2 linked regions of the Diceros bicornis minor genome follow. The protein of the gene in region 1 purifies or fractionates together with the protein of each later gene. This does not show direct contact. Links are inferred from orthologs where the notes say so. Each region holds a gene or a part of one and is shown in the gene's direction. Other genes may lie near its edges.

Region 1 (7,431 bases):
GACTTGTGCCGTGAAAGAGGAAAACAAGATGGAGAAATAGAGAGAAGCTGAGCTAGCTTGCTTTCCCCACTATAGTCTTTCAGCCTCAAGAAGGCTTGAATTCTAAATCAAATTCAGTGTTCAGATTAAAATCTAATTTCTGAATTGAGATAGTGTTTGCAACTTAAAGAGGTCATAGTTCTGTCCAGTAACCAAAGGTCAATAGAAAAATTCTGAGACTGAATTTCCTCCTACTATAAAAAAGCAAATCAGCATTACTTAATGAAATATTACAAATTCAATAATTGAAGGACTTCGTAGTGGGTCAAAAAAAAAAAAAAGTCAGATGTAGATTTGAAACTTTCCAGTTGATTCTGAAAGTATTTTCATTAGCAGAAGAAACTGTGTTTTAAAATGGATGGGGGGACTTTCTGAAACAGAACTGTATTTACATGAGATAACTGAGGAAGAAGTTGAAGTAATTACTTAGGTGAGGGGTGGAAATTTACCGTCATTATTTCACTACTACCTGTTGTGTTGAAAAGTCCAGTCCCCACGGAGCAGATTCTGAAACAGCTAGAAATGCACACCACCTCCGGAAATTAAAATTGTATCCTAAAATGAGGCTCTGGGATTACAATATGTATGTATTAGTTTTATTGCATACCTGATTCTCCCGCACAGCCGGGAATAATAATTATGTATGCTTGTTGCTTTGGAATTAGAACATGAATTCTAGCTGGATGCCCCACAGCTATTTAACCGTGGTCAGTAACTTTCTGTGACCCAAGCGTCCTGAAATGAGATTGCTTAAGTTGCTAACAGGCTCAGCTGTCTAACAGAGAATGTGACAATATGAATGAAAAAGTTTTCATTCATACTCTAGCAACGTAGCAGGAAAAAAATCTGACAATGAAATAAGAGGGAGGTTTCCAGAGGGCTTTAAGTATCCCAGTTTCACATGGCATCAGGTTATTGACATACCTGTTCCTCAGGTATTCACATGTGTCACTAATACAGACATTTGACCTACACCTTAAGAAAGATCTGTGAAAAAGAGAAAAAGACAATTAGTACTGATAACTCTTGCAAGTGACTCTTCTTATACCTGGATTTAAACTATGCTCTTTTGGAAATTGCTCTATTAATCATCTGTAGACTGTAATCAGCTGTAGACTTAACATAGTTATTTCAGAAACCAACTATGGCAGAGACTGGCTGGTTGTCCATCAAACCTATTTCTTTTCTTCCTGGGCTAGACTCCATTTCATGGCCTGCCTTGTAGTCAGGTGGCTTGGGAGCGTTCTGGCCAGTGGAACGTGAATGTGCGTAAAAGCTTCCTTGAGTGATCCGCCATGCTTTTCCCTCTTCTGCCAGCTCGATGCTGTGATTATGTGTTGAACGTGTCAGAGTTCTTCACGGAAGAAACTTGGGCCCTAAGCATATATAAGAATAAAATGCCTGCCATTCAGAACTTTACACGGATGAGAAATACACTTCTTTTGTTGTGTGCCAGGATAGATTTTTGTATTTACTTGTAGCAGCTCGAGTTATCTTAACGAATATATTCACATTTATGGTAAAGGAATTTTAGCTTGCTGACCACTCACTATGTTTTAGATACTATCTAATATTTCATCACATTTAATTCTAGTAATAAGCTGATGAAGTGGTTGTAACTGTCATTTCACAAATGAGGAAATTAAGGCTTAGAAAAGTTAAGCAACTTGCCTGAGACATAAATTCTGCTGAGAGAGGATTTGAACTCAGGTCTGCAAGTCTCCAAGTGTGTTCATGATCTTTCCAATAAGCCACCCCAAGAGGACAGTACTGTATAAACTGCACATAGGGCACAGATGTATTTGTTCATTCATTCAGTCAGTCAACAAACACTTATTCGGTTCATACTTTGTGCCATGTCCTATCCTAGACACTGGAGACAAGATACTCTTTTTACTAAGGAAGAGAAGCATAACTTAATTTTTGTTACCTGATGTCTTAAAATTCTAAATATACCTTCTAGTTTAAGGTACTCCCAAGAAATGATGGAAGTACTAAGAAATAGCTCTCAGTATCTAATTTACTCATTGGCAGTCAGGAAGAGTGAATACTCTCCTTCAGAATCATAAATTACTACGACTGAGAGATGTTAGCCTGAAGAATATCCAGCTTAATAAAGAATGAGGGCTTTCTCTCTGAAATCTGGGAGGGACTTTCCCATGGATGAACACGCTGCCACTCCCCATATTTTTGGGATGTGATGACAAGGAAGAGGAGGAGAAATCAAGCTTACATTCTGTATGGAGTACCGTCATGCCACAACTGGCAGATTCTGCCAAATTCATGATGGCACAGTCTAAAAGGAAAAATAATGTTTTCAAAACAAATAATAGTTCTATAATAAATAATAATTCTACAATAAAAACCGACATGGTTTTATTATAGAAATTTATGAAACTACTATAGTAGAAAAGCAAAGTAGAGCAAAAATAAAAGTTTACAATTTTCAAATACATGAAGCCCAGAGTCTATAATCCATTGTAGTCTATACAATACTTAATTTTAGGGTTTAATCCAGCTAAGATTCAATACAATCTGATGAGACTAGGAGAAATATTTTTAGGCAGTATGGCTCATAAGACAATTTGGTTCTCACAAATATGTTGATGTTGAGATTGAAAACAAATGAAAATTGCAATTGATAAGAGATATCTAGTAATTCAGAATACTATAACTCTCAGAGTTAAATATTTAACAGAGATTTCTAGACAATCTTTTTAGTGCTGGTGTCATAAGGGACTATTTTCTTAAAAAGTGGGTTGCGTTACGATAGAATAAAAATCTGACCCATTTTTGTGTTTTACAGCAAGAAATCTGTAACTGAATCATTTTGCCAATAGAGACTGTTAGAGGGCTGATAATTATGGGAATAAATTATGTACTGTATACACAGAAAAACTGAATAGAATTAGGATACAGTCTTTTTATTAATTAATTCCTGATGTGCTGGGAAATACGGGAAAAGGAGAAAGGCAGCAATTGAGGACTTGTCTCTTGGGTGGACTGTGTATCTTAAAACGGCAAATTTTGTTCTAGAATGGTCAGGGAAACGTTTCCCTTACAAATGGAGAAAACTGACTTAAAAACAACCCCTTTTCTTTCCTATTAGGTTACATACTTCTGTCTACAATCTGAATAGATTTGCATTTCACAACAGAAAAGATGTGGACACAGATGTATAAATACAACTCACTATATAAGTACCAGGGATATAGTATAAAAGAATGACTACCATCACAACGTTGTCAGAACATGGAAAAGCAGAGAAGGAAGTGCGTGTCGGGAGGAGGAACTCTTCTAACAGAAAGAAGCCAAAAGCCTTAACAAGAATCTTGCACTGGGGAAAATAACAGGTACATCAAGGCTAGAGCCACGTGGCGAAATAATACGGCATTTTCAAAGCGTTCCAGAAGCGACAAACATGGTGCCAGAAAAAATACAAACTTTTCTAACTTCATGGAGTGTGGTGTATGGTAAAATATGGCCATTTTGCAAAAATAGTGTCTCCATGGCAAATATTCTCAGGAGCCATGAACTTCAAAAGAAAGAAATGGTTATCTTCTTTGTGGTGAAAGCAATCCAGGCAGGCTTCCCCCAAGTCAACGAAAACTAATGTCCCTAAAACGCGTGTAATTTTAAGAGTGAATCGCGGTCCCACTGCAACCTGTGTACTGTGTGTGGCTATGCCTGCTTCCAGGAGCACTGTGGATGGCTCTTCGGAGGGGTCTGGACTGGACAGTGCGGTCTCCTGGGAGAGTCGGGAGTGGTCTTTCGTTTTGGACTGACCCCTGGGGTGCGGGGACCCCCCCCCCCCCCAGCTCTCGAGGTCACCTCCCCAGGGCACCGCCGCCTCGGGGGCTTCCAGGTGCGGGTCCCACCCCCCGGGAGCCCGTGTGGCGGGAGGCGTCAGCCCGGGGCCCGGCCGCGGCGAGGGCGCGTGGGGGCGGCGGGCTCCTCCCGGGGCAGCGAGCCTCCCTCCCGGGCCTCGGGCGCCGGCCGCGGGCCACGCGGGCGCGGGGAAACCCGGCACTTCCCGCCCGGGAACGACTCCCCCGCTCCCGGCGCTGGCTGGCTGGCCGGGGGGATGTTCTCGCGAGAGGAGAGGGGCGCGGGCGCCGCGGCTCCGGGGGGCGCGGGGCAGCCCGAGGACGAGGCCCGGCGGGAGGGAGCCGGGGCGGCGGGCCGGGCCGGGGCGCGGGGACGCCGCTCCCGCCAGTCGCCGCGAGCCAGCCTTGACGTCAGGAGTTTTCCTCAAAGTCAACAACAAGCCCCGCAGCGGCGGCCCCCTGAGGGAAGGAGGGAGGGAGGGGCGGCGGCGGGGTCCCCGTGAGGCGAGGCGCGGCCGGCTGAGGAGGCCGCGGCCCCCGACCCGCCCCGGCCCGAGCCCCCGCGCCGCTCGCCGGCGTGCCCGGCCCCCGCCCGGCGGCGTTCCGTGGTGATGAATCGAATTTGTAGCCGATATCCGATTCCCATGTAGTCTCCGCCTCCTCCCGCCGCCGCCCGCCTCCCGCCGCCGCCACCGCCGCCGCCTCCCGCTCCAGCTCCGCGGCCCGGCCCGGCCGGCTCCCTCCCTCCTCCCTGCAGCCTTCCGCCTGCCCGCCGCGGCCGCCGGCTCCAGGGGCCCGAGGCTCTGCGGGGTGGGGGGAGGACAGGAGGGGAGGAGGAGGGAGGGGGACCCCCGAGTCGCCCCCTCTCCTCCCCCCGCCCCCCGGCTCCATCCTCCGCCGCCGCCCAGCAGCTGCGGGCCGCCGCCGCCTCTGCAGGTAACAGCCGCCGCCCCCACCCGCGCCCCCTCCCCGGCGCGCCGCGCTCCCTGCGGCCCGGCCGGCCGGCCTCCTCTCGGCTCCCCTCGGGCGGGGGGCGGCGGCGGGGGCGTCGGGGTTGTCACCGCGCCGGGGGCGTGGGCGGGGGCTGGGCGGCGGGCGGGAGGCCGGGGACGCGGCGCGGGGGACCGCGGCGCCCCGCGCTCTCGGGGGACGCGGGGGCTCCCGGCCTAGCGGCGCGGTGCGCGCCTGGGCGCCCGCCCGGCGCCCCCGGTCTGCGCGCGGCTCCGCCGGCCGCGGGGCGTGGGGAGGGTCCGCGGCCGGGGCGCGAGGTTATGTAACGCGGGGGCGCCGGGCCGGGGTTCGGGCGGGTGAGGCCGTCCGCGCGCGGGGGGGTGGGTGGGGTGGGCGAGGATGCGCCGGCGCCCGGGGGGCCCCTCCCCCGCCGACCCCGGCCCGCGCCCGGGGGAGCCGGCCGGCGGGGCGGGGGCGTGGGCGGGGGCCCGGGGCCGGTCTGCGTCCCTAATGGTGCTGGGGTTCTAATCCGCTCGGGAGTTGTGCGCTAAGAATAGAAACGTGCGGAAGATGCTGGTTTGGCGGCTCCAGTGATGCTGTCGCTGCTGGCGGCGGCGGCGCGGCTGCAAGTAAACAAACCAGCCTCTTCCTCGGCCGCCGCCGCCTCCTGCGCGTCGGGCCGCATCAGCCATGATGCTGGCGGGCCCTTCAGGGCCCCGAGTGGAAGCCCGCGGGCTGCCGCGTTCGCCCGGGCTCCTAGGCGCGGTCCCTCCGGGTCTGGGATTTCCCGGGAACCGACAGCGGGGCGGGGGTGCGTCTCTCTGGGGCCGGGTGTTCCGTACCGATGTTGAGTGTGGGTCTTCAGAAAGCGGAGGAAGTGTTTACCCGTGAGTCAAGGCTTAGGATGCCCTGATTTCTCCCATCAGCATAGTGTTGTGAAAATAAAACCAGCCCGTTTCACCAGCGTGGTAATGGGTTGGAAGCCCAGTAGTTTGGACTGGATAACATTTCCAAGTAGAAATTCGACAGTGAAACCTATGTGTCTGTATTGATTAATTACTAGTATTAATAAACTGTTCACACTGTTTAGCTCATCTTGTAGCTAAAAGGTATGAAATAATGACTTTTTGCAGTTAATACGTTGCCAGCTGCCTCATATCATGAGTTTAGATATGTCTTCCATATTTGGTAAAGCATGGTCATATTATATCTCTTAGTAGAGTATACCGTAAATCACTAGGCGACCCGTGGTTTTGTTTTTGGTGGAAACTCGTTAAATTAGGTTTACATTGTTAGGAAATAGTTGAAAAAGCCGAAGGTGGAAGAGTCCAATAAAGATGGTTTGGGCAAGTTTGTCTTCAGAACTTGAGTATCATTGCAAAATATGTATAAATGAAGATGAATATTCCAGGAGGTGGTTGTCTGAAACACACGCACATATTCAGGAGGTAGTTGTCTCAAACATGAAAATATCTTTTTTTTAGAGTATCTACCTATGAGTAAATTACTTGTTTCCCAAGGTATATGACTGAATGCACAGTTATTTGCAAGATATTTATCAAGACTGTACTTTTTTTTTTTTCTTTTGCCAATACATAAACTTGCCTTTGAAAGTTTACCGAGGAGACTGTATCTGAAGGTCTACTTTTTGTCTTTCTCACTAGGGTTAACCCCAGTATCTTTGATTGGTTGAGCTTCTCATTTTAAAGTGAGGGAGTGCACATAATATATGAATGGGACAACATTGGAATTCAGATGACTGTAGAGTTTTCGTTTTCAGTTGTATATTTGTGCTGTGTATTTGACGTAGTATGTTTTCTTGTAGTATTTAAAAAGTAAGATCTAGTCTCAAGTAATTCTATCAAAAAATTTCTGAAACTGTTATTTGTATTCATGTTGTCCCCTACACTTAGCCTTTCCATAATGATTACTTTAGTGAATTGTTTTCCGACTTAAAGTATTTAGTTTGACATTGACTCTTGGTTTAAGTTGCATGTTCAGAGTACTTAAGAGTTCTGCTTTGGACTTTTTTTGTTAATGTAATTTTATAGCTGTAAAATATTTTAAATAAGATTTCATTCATTCATTCAACGAATACCAGAGTGTGAACTGTGTGTGAGGGGCTGGTTTGATTAAAAACTGTCTTATTTACATTTCGTCCAGAAGATCAAAGAACGAGAATTTGTTTTCAGAATCACTGGAAATCTAAACATGTTTTTGTTAAACATGTCACAGGACAAATGTACTCAGCAGAGTCCTGTGCAAAGTAGAGATTTAAGATTTTTTAGACTCTAGATTTTGATTTAAACATATGAGATATTTTCTTTCTTAAAAAAGTTGAATGGAAATTTCCAACTATTTGGGTTTCTTTAAAAAGAGGAACCTGTTTTACAAATTGTTTTTCTGGAAGTTTAGAATTTACTTAAACTTTGCATATTTTTGTGAGAAGATAGCTATACTTCTTTTGTTGTTATACCTTTTAGTTCAAGAATTCACTCTTGGGAAGATAAGACGATTATTGTTAACAACATGTTAATTGAATTTTTAGCATTATTTGATAGGATCTTATAGTGTGATTAAGTTTCAAGCATTAAAAAATATTTAATTTAAAACC
Region 2 (7,807 bases), on another chromosome or scaffold:
TGAAGTCAGGATGTTGGTCTCTTCTGTCCCCTGCTGGATCTCCAGGGCCTAGGACAATGCTGGCATACAGTAGGCGCTCAACAAATATCTCTTGAATAAAGGAATAAATCTGCTTGACTTCCTCACCTCTTTCGGGTCTCTGTTCAGAGGCACCTCCTTCTAGAGGCCTTCTCCGACACAGATGCTTCCCTGAACCCCATCACTCTGTGCCCCTCACTCAGCTTTATCTTTCTTCTCAGCTCTCATCACCCCTGACATATTATTTATTTATGTTTCTGCTCTCCCAACTCCTTAGTTCCACAAGGGCAGGGGATTCTTCTGTCTGGTTCTAGCTGTATCGGGGGCCAACTTCATGGACACGTGACCTGTGCCTTCGCCCAGGGCCCCGAGCTTAGAAGGTTTAATACGCAGCTGTCATTGTCTTGAAATTCTTCATCCTTTTGAACCTGCATTTGCATTTTGCCCTGGGCTCTGCAAATTCTGCAGCCCGGCCTGGAACAGCCCATGGTAGGTGCTCAAGGATTTGTGGAGTGAAGGAAGGGTGGCCAGAGGAGCCCCACTGGCCGGGGTGGGAGAGGTGGGGGGGGGAGGGGGGGGCAGAGACACGTGTGCGTGCCACCACTGTCTGGACACCCGTGCGCGTTTGCAGGAATCAGCCCTGGCGGAAACCCAGGTTGGGGAGGCAGGGCCTCAGGAGCCAGCCTGAGTGCCCGGGTGGATGGGGGCACTAAACTGCCTTCCCCTCCCCCGGGCAGCAGGCCAGCTGGGGAGGGGCGTCCAGATGGCAGAGCAGGCCACTCTGGGCAGCTGGCACCCGGCTCAGGCTGGGAGAGGCCTTTTCCCCACCCAGCTTGTCAGCCACTGGCCCAGCCTGGGAGCCCCTGGCCTGGCCCGACATGGCTTCACCCAGCCCAACATCCTCCCTGAAAACAATATGGGGACGGGGAGCCAACAAGATGGAAGGAAATGAGGATAAGCACCCTTGGCCACACCTTGGCCCTGAGCCTTCAAGCCTGAATTAGGGGACAATCACTACTCAAGCTCCATGCCTGGAGCTGGAGCAGGGCTGAGAAGGACAGTCAGGGGCGCCGTGCGTGTGTGTGTGCACGTGTGTGTGCGTGCATGAGACTTTGTACCCAACTGTGCATGTGCAACCGGACGGGTGGAACTTTCTGTGAGTCTGAGTTTGCGTAGTTGAGATCAGACTGTACCTGTGGGAGTGTGTGTACAGGACAGGGTGACAGGTCATGTCTGTGTGTGACTGTCATATGAGTGTGTGTGTGTTGGGGAGGTGGGGTACATGCATGTGGATGCAACAGGAACAGCATTTCACAGTGGTTAGAAATGCAGATTTGGGGTTCAATTCTCTGCTCAGCCACTCATGAGCTGTATGGCCTCAGACACATTAGGTTCTCAGGCTTCAGCCTGAGTATTTGTTAGTATGATTACGTTTGTCTGGATTCAAGTGTGTGTGTGAAGAGTAAGCCACCTCCTCCAGGAAGTCTTCCTGGATGCCGAATCTGAATTGCACCCTTTCATTTTTCTTTCTTGTCAGAAGCCATCTATTTCCATCGAAGTCCTAATCATAATTTGTTGTTATATATTTATTTGTTTGTTTATGTTGTTTCTTTTCTGTTTCTTCCACTAAATATCAGCTCCAGGGGGGCAAGGAGTTTTGCTCTGTTCACTGCTGTGTCCCCCGCACCTGGCATATAGTAGGCGCTGAATACTTGTTGAATGGATGAATGCAGGGCTGTGTCTGCATGGTACAGAGGGAGAGGTGGGTGCTCGCTGGGCTCCCAGGGGGCCCTGTGTGCAAGTGTGTTCTCTACTCTCTTTCTTTCTCAGCTGTTCACAACCATGCCTTCAGCCATCCTCACTTTTAGGGGAATGATGTCCCCTTATAAACTCCCTGTATCACCGTTAACACCATCTTTTCCTTTCTCTGGGTCTTACGGACTCAGTTGCTTCATCTGTAAAATGGGAGAGGGGATGGATCGGTTCATGATAAGCTTCCTTCCTGATCTCAAGTGCCATGAAAATAGTTTTAATCTAAGCCCTTCTTTAATTCATTCAACATTTATGGGGCGCCAACTGTGTGCCAGGCCCTGTTCTAAAGCCGGCCCTGCCCTCGTGGAGCTGAAGCGAACAAGGAAGGCAGGAACGACCCAGAAATCTCATTTAATCTCCAACACCCCCCCACCCCCGCCCTTGCCTGATGGAAGGTTCGTCTTCACGGTCTGCAATCGCCGCGGGTACTTCTCTGTTTAGACACGGATCTTGCTCCCTCGCCAGCCTTGAGGGGCAGCAGAGCAGGGACCCAGCTGGTCTTGTTGGTGGCTGTAGCCCCCGCCTGGCCACAGCGCCGTGGCGCATAGCAGGCTCTCGGGAAATATGTGTGAAATGAGCTAAGAAATAAATGATGGAGGAAAGGCAGGCTCGCGTGCATGGCCCCTGGGCATCCTGGCCGTGTCATTACCCACTTTGCAGATGGGGACATTGAGGCTCAGGAAGGCAAAGCCGCTTGCCGGGGCCCACCGCAGCTCAGTAGCGAGTGCGTGGCTGTGGGATACAGCAGACGAAGCTTGTGTAGCCCAGAGGAGCACTCCCAGCCCCCGCGCCCACCTCACAGGTCCGAGAAACGAAGCAGGGGATGCTCTGACGGGAGGAGGGGGGTGGGAGACCGAGGGACAGTGCAAAGCAACTCAGGGGTCTCTGTTTCGGTCCCCAGGGTTGGAGATGCTGTGCTGGCAGGAGATTCGGAAATGCTCCTCGCTGATGGGGCAGCTTCCGGCGCCCTCTCTCCAGTTCTGGGAGCTGGGGCTCCTAGGACCCCGTTTCGCTGGCACCGGGCAGCTTCAGTCTCCGAAGCCGGGGAGAGACCCCCCCGCGCCTACCCGGGAATCCCCGACATCCGGGGTCCTCCCCACACACCCCGAGCCCGGAAGCCGGCCTGAAGCCTCCAAGGGCGTACGGGGGGGGCCCGGCTTTCTTGGGGAGCAGAGGAAGCCCCCACTGTCCTGGCCCCCTCCCTCCGGGGCGCCGGGTCTCCCTCCCCACCGCAGCTCGCAGCCCGAAGCTTACCTTGCAGGGGGGCTGGGGAGGGGATGCCCCGCCCTCTCCGGCCTGGGGGGCGGGAGGGGACAGGGGTGTCCAGACCCTTTGTTTGCTGGGGTGTGTGTACGTGTGTGTGCGCGATTGTGAGACCCGCTGGGGTGTGGGTCCTTGCGCGCGTGCTCGGGCCGTGACGGCCGCTGAGATGCTGGACTGCCCGGGCTGGAGGGGGAGGGGTTGGGGGAGGGGGAGGAGAGGGACTCCCCCGCCCGCCCACTCACGGGGTTGAATGGAGCTCGAGGGGGAGGGGCGGCAGCGGGCGGGCGCTTTTGTTTGAATGGCCCCACCTCCTCCCCAGGCCGGGGAATCCGCCCCCAATCTGGAGCCCTTTACTCCATCCCCTCCAGTCCCCTCCCTGCAAACAGCAGCTCTGGGAAGAGGCGCCCCTCACCCGAGTGAAACTCCTCCCATCCCACCCGGCCCCCACGGAGCGCCCTTTAATCTGAGATAATCCCGGCCCTCGGCTGCAACACGGCCTTTTATCCCAGTATCAAAGCGTGGGTTGGGGTGTACGCAAGAGTGCGGCTGGGGTCGCCCAAGCTCAGAGTAAGGGAGTCCTTAGAGCTCCGGCCGAGGCAGGGGGCCCCAAACGAAAGGGGAGGGCCTGGAGGGGTCCTAGAGCACCACGACGAGGAAAGCCCCCATCCGCACCTCCACGATCCCCCCCGACCCGGCCCTGCACGGGGCCAGGAGCCCTGACCGCTGGCTAGACATTAGCGACACCTAGCGGCCGCACGGGGAGACGCCGCGGGCGGGCGCCCGGGACCCGTTGCGGGGGATCCGGGTGATTCCAGAGTGGGCGTGTGTGCGCGAATCCCCGCTCAAGAGTGGCGGAAGATGAGGACGCTGTGCCCGAGCCTGGAAAACAGCAGCCCCCAAAGCACAGCCACTTCGCCCCCACCTCCGACGCCCCAAGGGCAAGGCCATATCCCTCCTCCAGTTACAGGCTCCCAGGGCAGGGCCCTGTACCCCTCGGACTGGGAAGGTCCCCTGCGATCCGACACACCCCTCCCCAGCGTAGGGTTAGGTCCCTCCCCACACAGGGCAGAGGGGCGGGTAGTTTCGCCGAGGCCCCGCCCCTGCAGTGGGCTCGGGCTGACGTCACTGCGGCGTGACTAAGGGGACAATCCTCTCCCTCAGTCTCACGAACTGTCCCCTCCACCCCACGGCCGCCGCAAACGCCCGACGTGGGGCAGCGGGAGATGCGGGGGGATAGAGGTTAGAGCGCCCTCCCGTATACCCCCAGGAGGTGCCTGGGTCCGGATGAGAGGGGGTCTCGGCGGGGACTCCCGGGGGCCAGCACACGTGCGCAGGGCCCTTTAAGGCGAGCTCGGTCTCCAGCGCCGCCGCCGCCGTTACCAAGGATGTGACGTCATGCGCGGGCAGGGGCGTGCGCGCGCAGGCGGAAACGGAAGGGGCGGGGCTCCGCGGGCTGAGCCTCCAGCGCTGCCGCCGCCGCCGGAGCGGGCTGGGCCGCCGAGGCAAGATGGTGGACTACAGCGTGTGGGACCACATCGAGGTGTCTGACGATGAGGACGAGACGCACCCCAACATCGACACGGCCAGCCTCTTCCGCTGGCGGCACCAGGTAGAGCGCGTGCGCCCATCCCCTTCCCCCGCTGCCGGGACTCCGCTCCGGAGTTCTGCCCCCCGATACCGCCAGGGCCCCGCCATTGACACCCGGGATCCCCACCCCGCAGTCTGGACTTTCATTATCGCCCGGGGTTCCTTGATTCAACTCCGGGACCCCAGAACTGCCGGGACCCTGGGTTCCTGCCCGCGATCCGGGCCCCGCTTCCGATTTCTGCATGGAACTCCCAGTTGATCCATAGGGCACCTTCTTCGGAGGCTAGACTCTCAAGATAAGCTTTGTGGGTGCCCCCCAATCCTGTCTGGGACCTTCCATCTACACTCAGAACTCTGCCTCAGAGTCTGGACCCGGGTCCTATTCGGGTACCCACTTTTCTTGGATATCCCATCGGCCCTCCCCAGTTCCTAGAGTCTGGACCCCTAATACTTTGCTTCTATTCTGGAGTCTTCCTCCCTGGGTCTTGACGGGGTTCCCATTCAGATCCAGAGATCCCACTCCTCCAAACAAAGCAAGGAGCTCTGTCTTCCCCTGAGATTTCTGTTCCTGGCCTGGGACTCGAAGCCATACCCAAGACTCCTTTCCTAGAGTGTAGACCCGTGCCCCCCCAGGGCCTTCAGTCCCATCTAGGACTAGAGTTTTGGAATCGTGTTCCCTTCCAGACTGAGCCACCAGCTCCACCCTGAGGGAGCCTCCACTTCCAGCCGCTCTTCTTTAGTGTCACCCACTGCAGACCTCATTTCCCATCACACCTGGAAACCCTACCCACGTGGCTCCCGCCCAGCCAGAACTCCTGCCTCTGCTGGGTAGTGCAGACCCAGTCATTGCCCACCCCAAGACAGGCTTCCTGTGGGAACCTTTGCTGGCGTTGGAATTGTCACCCAAACCCAAGGCCACCTCGCCTTCCTCCTGACCCCAGGCTGGTCTGCTGTTCTCGGACACCCAGATTGTCCTTGCCCCCACCAGGGACCCTCCCAGTGTGATTCCAAATTCACTGCCCCTTCTTTTATCTCTTTGCTCTTAAATCCAGACCCAGAATCCTAAGTCTGGGTGTCCTCTTGCCCCCCTCCCTGCCCAGCAGTGCTGGCAGACCAACAGAATGGCTCTCATAAGACCTAATGGCCTAACCTGCTCCCCCAAATCAGAACTCCTGTACCCACATACCTATGTTATACTCTCAAACTGAGAGTGTATATTTCTCAGAACCTTCCAGTTAGAAATTCCTCACTCCACTCTCCCATATGGCTACTCCCAGTCATTTATCCAGAACCTCCTAGAAGGGCCCTTCTCTGTCCTGCCAAGACAGGGCGGTAGTCCCTACAGCTGGTTCCCGGTTCCATCTCCAACCCATTTCTTAAAGCAGCTGTCTCTTGGCCTGCCGGGCAAGCCCCTGAGGTGTAAGAAGAAAGTTCTAGCATTTGTGCTTCTTGCCGTGTGTAACACCTTATTATGAAATACTTAAGACCTTCACAAAGCTCTAAAAGACTATTCTTGGGAACACCTCTTTCTGTCACATTCAGAGGTTAATCTATAGCTCAGAATGGAGAAGGGTTTGGTCCTGCTGGGTGGGAGGCGGGTGCCCCCTCTCCTGCAGCGTCTTCCTCCCGCCACGCCCTCTTCCCGCCTCCCTCCTGGCCCAGAACCTTTTCCTGTCCTGCTGCCAAGAGAGCCCCGAGGCTGTAGTGGAGGCAGGGGGCCTCAGCGGCTCCACCAGCAGGCAAGCCTGGGTTCTAATCCCAGCCCTGCCCCTTGCTGCTCTGCTCTGGGGGCAGCAAGACCCCTGGTCCCCAAGACCACTGTAAGAATGAAATGAGGTTGGGTCTGAAAAGAACTTGGCTCAGGGCCTGAGAGGGAGTAAGGTAGCAGAGGGGGCGGTGGGGTTAGTAAAAAGGCATCTGGGTGTGCTTCTGAGCACAGGCCTGCCCACCTGGCTTCACATCCTGGCTCCTGAATCCTTGACTTGCTGCATGACCCCCAGCGAATCTTTTGATCTCTCTGTGCCTCAGTTTCCCCAGCTGGCAGTATTAATAGTATCCACCCCAGAGGGTTGTTATAAGGGTCACCTTATTTGTTTAACGCTTGTAATGCCCTTGGGACAGCAGCCGGCATGTGATGAGCTCTCTGTAAACCTTAGCCATTATTGTCATCATTTTTATTTAGATAATTCACACTCATGGTAAAAAAAAAAAAAATTCCGAAGTTTCCAGAAGGGGACAGGTGAGGCTTCCCAGCTCCAGCTCCCTGGCTCCTTTGCCATTACTGGTTTCTTGGGGCCCTTCCAGTGAGCTGTGCGGCGTCAAGATTCCATGAGCCTCAGTTTCCCTGTCTGTAAGGCGGGGAGGCAGTGGCACCTTCTGGCTGCCGTGGCTTCCGCCCTGCCCGGCCTGCTGCAGCCCCTCCCGGAGGTGTAAAGCCCAGGCCGGGCAGGCTGCCGCCCCACCAGCTCCAAGCCCTTTATTTAGCTTCGGCCTCCCTGGCGGCCACTCAGACGACACCTGGGAGAGCTTGGTGGCCGCGCAGCAGAAGCCAGCAGGGCGGTAGGGTCCTGCTGCCAGCCGAGGCCAGCTGTGTGCCAACCCCAGAGAGCCCCTCGCAAGGCAGAGGGAAGGCTCCAGGGTGACGCAGGCCCACGGTGGAGAAGGGGAGGCGGCAGGGGCCAGGGCTGCCTTCTCTTACCCCTCCACGAGGCGAGAGCCTTCTCCACCCCTTATCCACATGGGGAGAGGGAGCTCCGGGTTGGCCATGCCAGCCCTGTGGGGCCTTAGAGAAGGTTCTCCCCATTCTCATGCTCCATGTGCCTGGCCCTGTGCTCGAACTCGTGATACAGCCTCGAATGAGGCCCAGACACAAGTCAGCAGACCATTCTGGTGGCAGTGGCCGTGACCACGGTCGTAACAGTGGGACCCGTCTACTGATTCCGGTGTTACCGGCAGTTTCTGTCGAGTAGCTCAGTCCTCACAGCAGTGCGAGGCCCCATTTCACAGAGGGGAAACCAAGGCAGGGAGAGGTGTAAGCGGCTTGGCCAAGGTCAAGGGCACGTCACGGGTAGGTCGTGGAGTTACTGATGATGTGGTAACGACCACCCCCAGTTATAAAGCGTTTCCT

The links.
Region 2: the proteins of AKT3 (region 1) and CDC37 purify together in Homo sapiens (co-immunoprecipitation; 3 studies listed by BioGRID and IntAct, counting the BioPlex papers as one, with this or other methods). This does not show direct contact. The link is inferred for Diceros bicornis minor from reciprocal best matches to the Homo sapiens genes AKT3 and CDC37.

What each region holds. Positions count from the first base shown.
Region 1 is NC_080777.1:1,522,056-1,529,486, forward strand, and holds the start of AKT3 (RAC-gamma serine/threonine-protein kinase), read left to right. Parts: upstream 1-4,404; 5' UTR 4,405-4,802; intron 4,803-7,431. UniProt on the Homo sapiens protein: AKT3 is one of 3 closely related serine/threonine-protein kinases (AKT1, AKT2 and AKT3) called the AKT kinase, and which regulate many processes including metabolism, proliferation, cell survival, growth and angiogenesis.
Region 2 is NC_080769.1:8,806,945-8,814,751, forward strand, and holds the start of CDC37 (hsp90 co-chaperone Cdc37), read left to right. Parts: upstream 1-4,556; 5' UTR 4,557-4,600; coding exon 4,601-4,702; intron 4,703-7,807. Other genes in the region: collagen alpha-1(I) chain-like, read left to right, coding at 2,732-3,204. UniProt on the Homo sapiens protein: Co-chaperone that binds to numerous kinases and promotes their interaction with the Hsp90 complex, resulting in stabilization and promotion of their activity. Inhibits HSP90AA1 ATPase activity.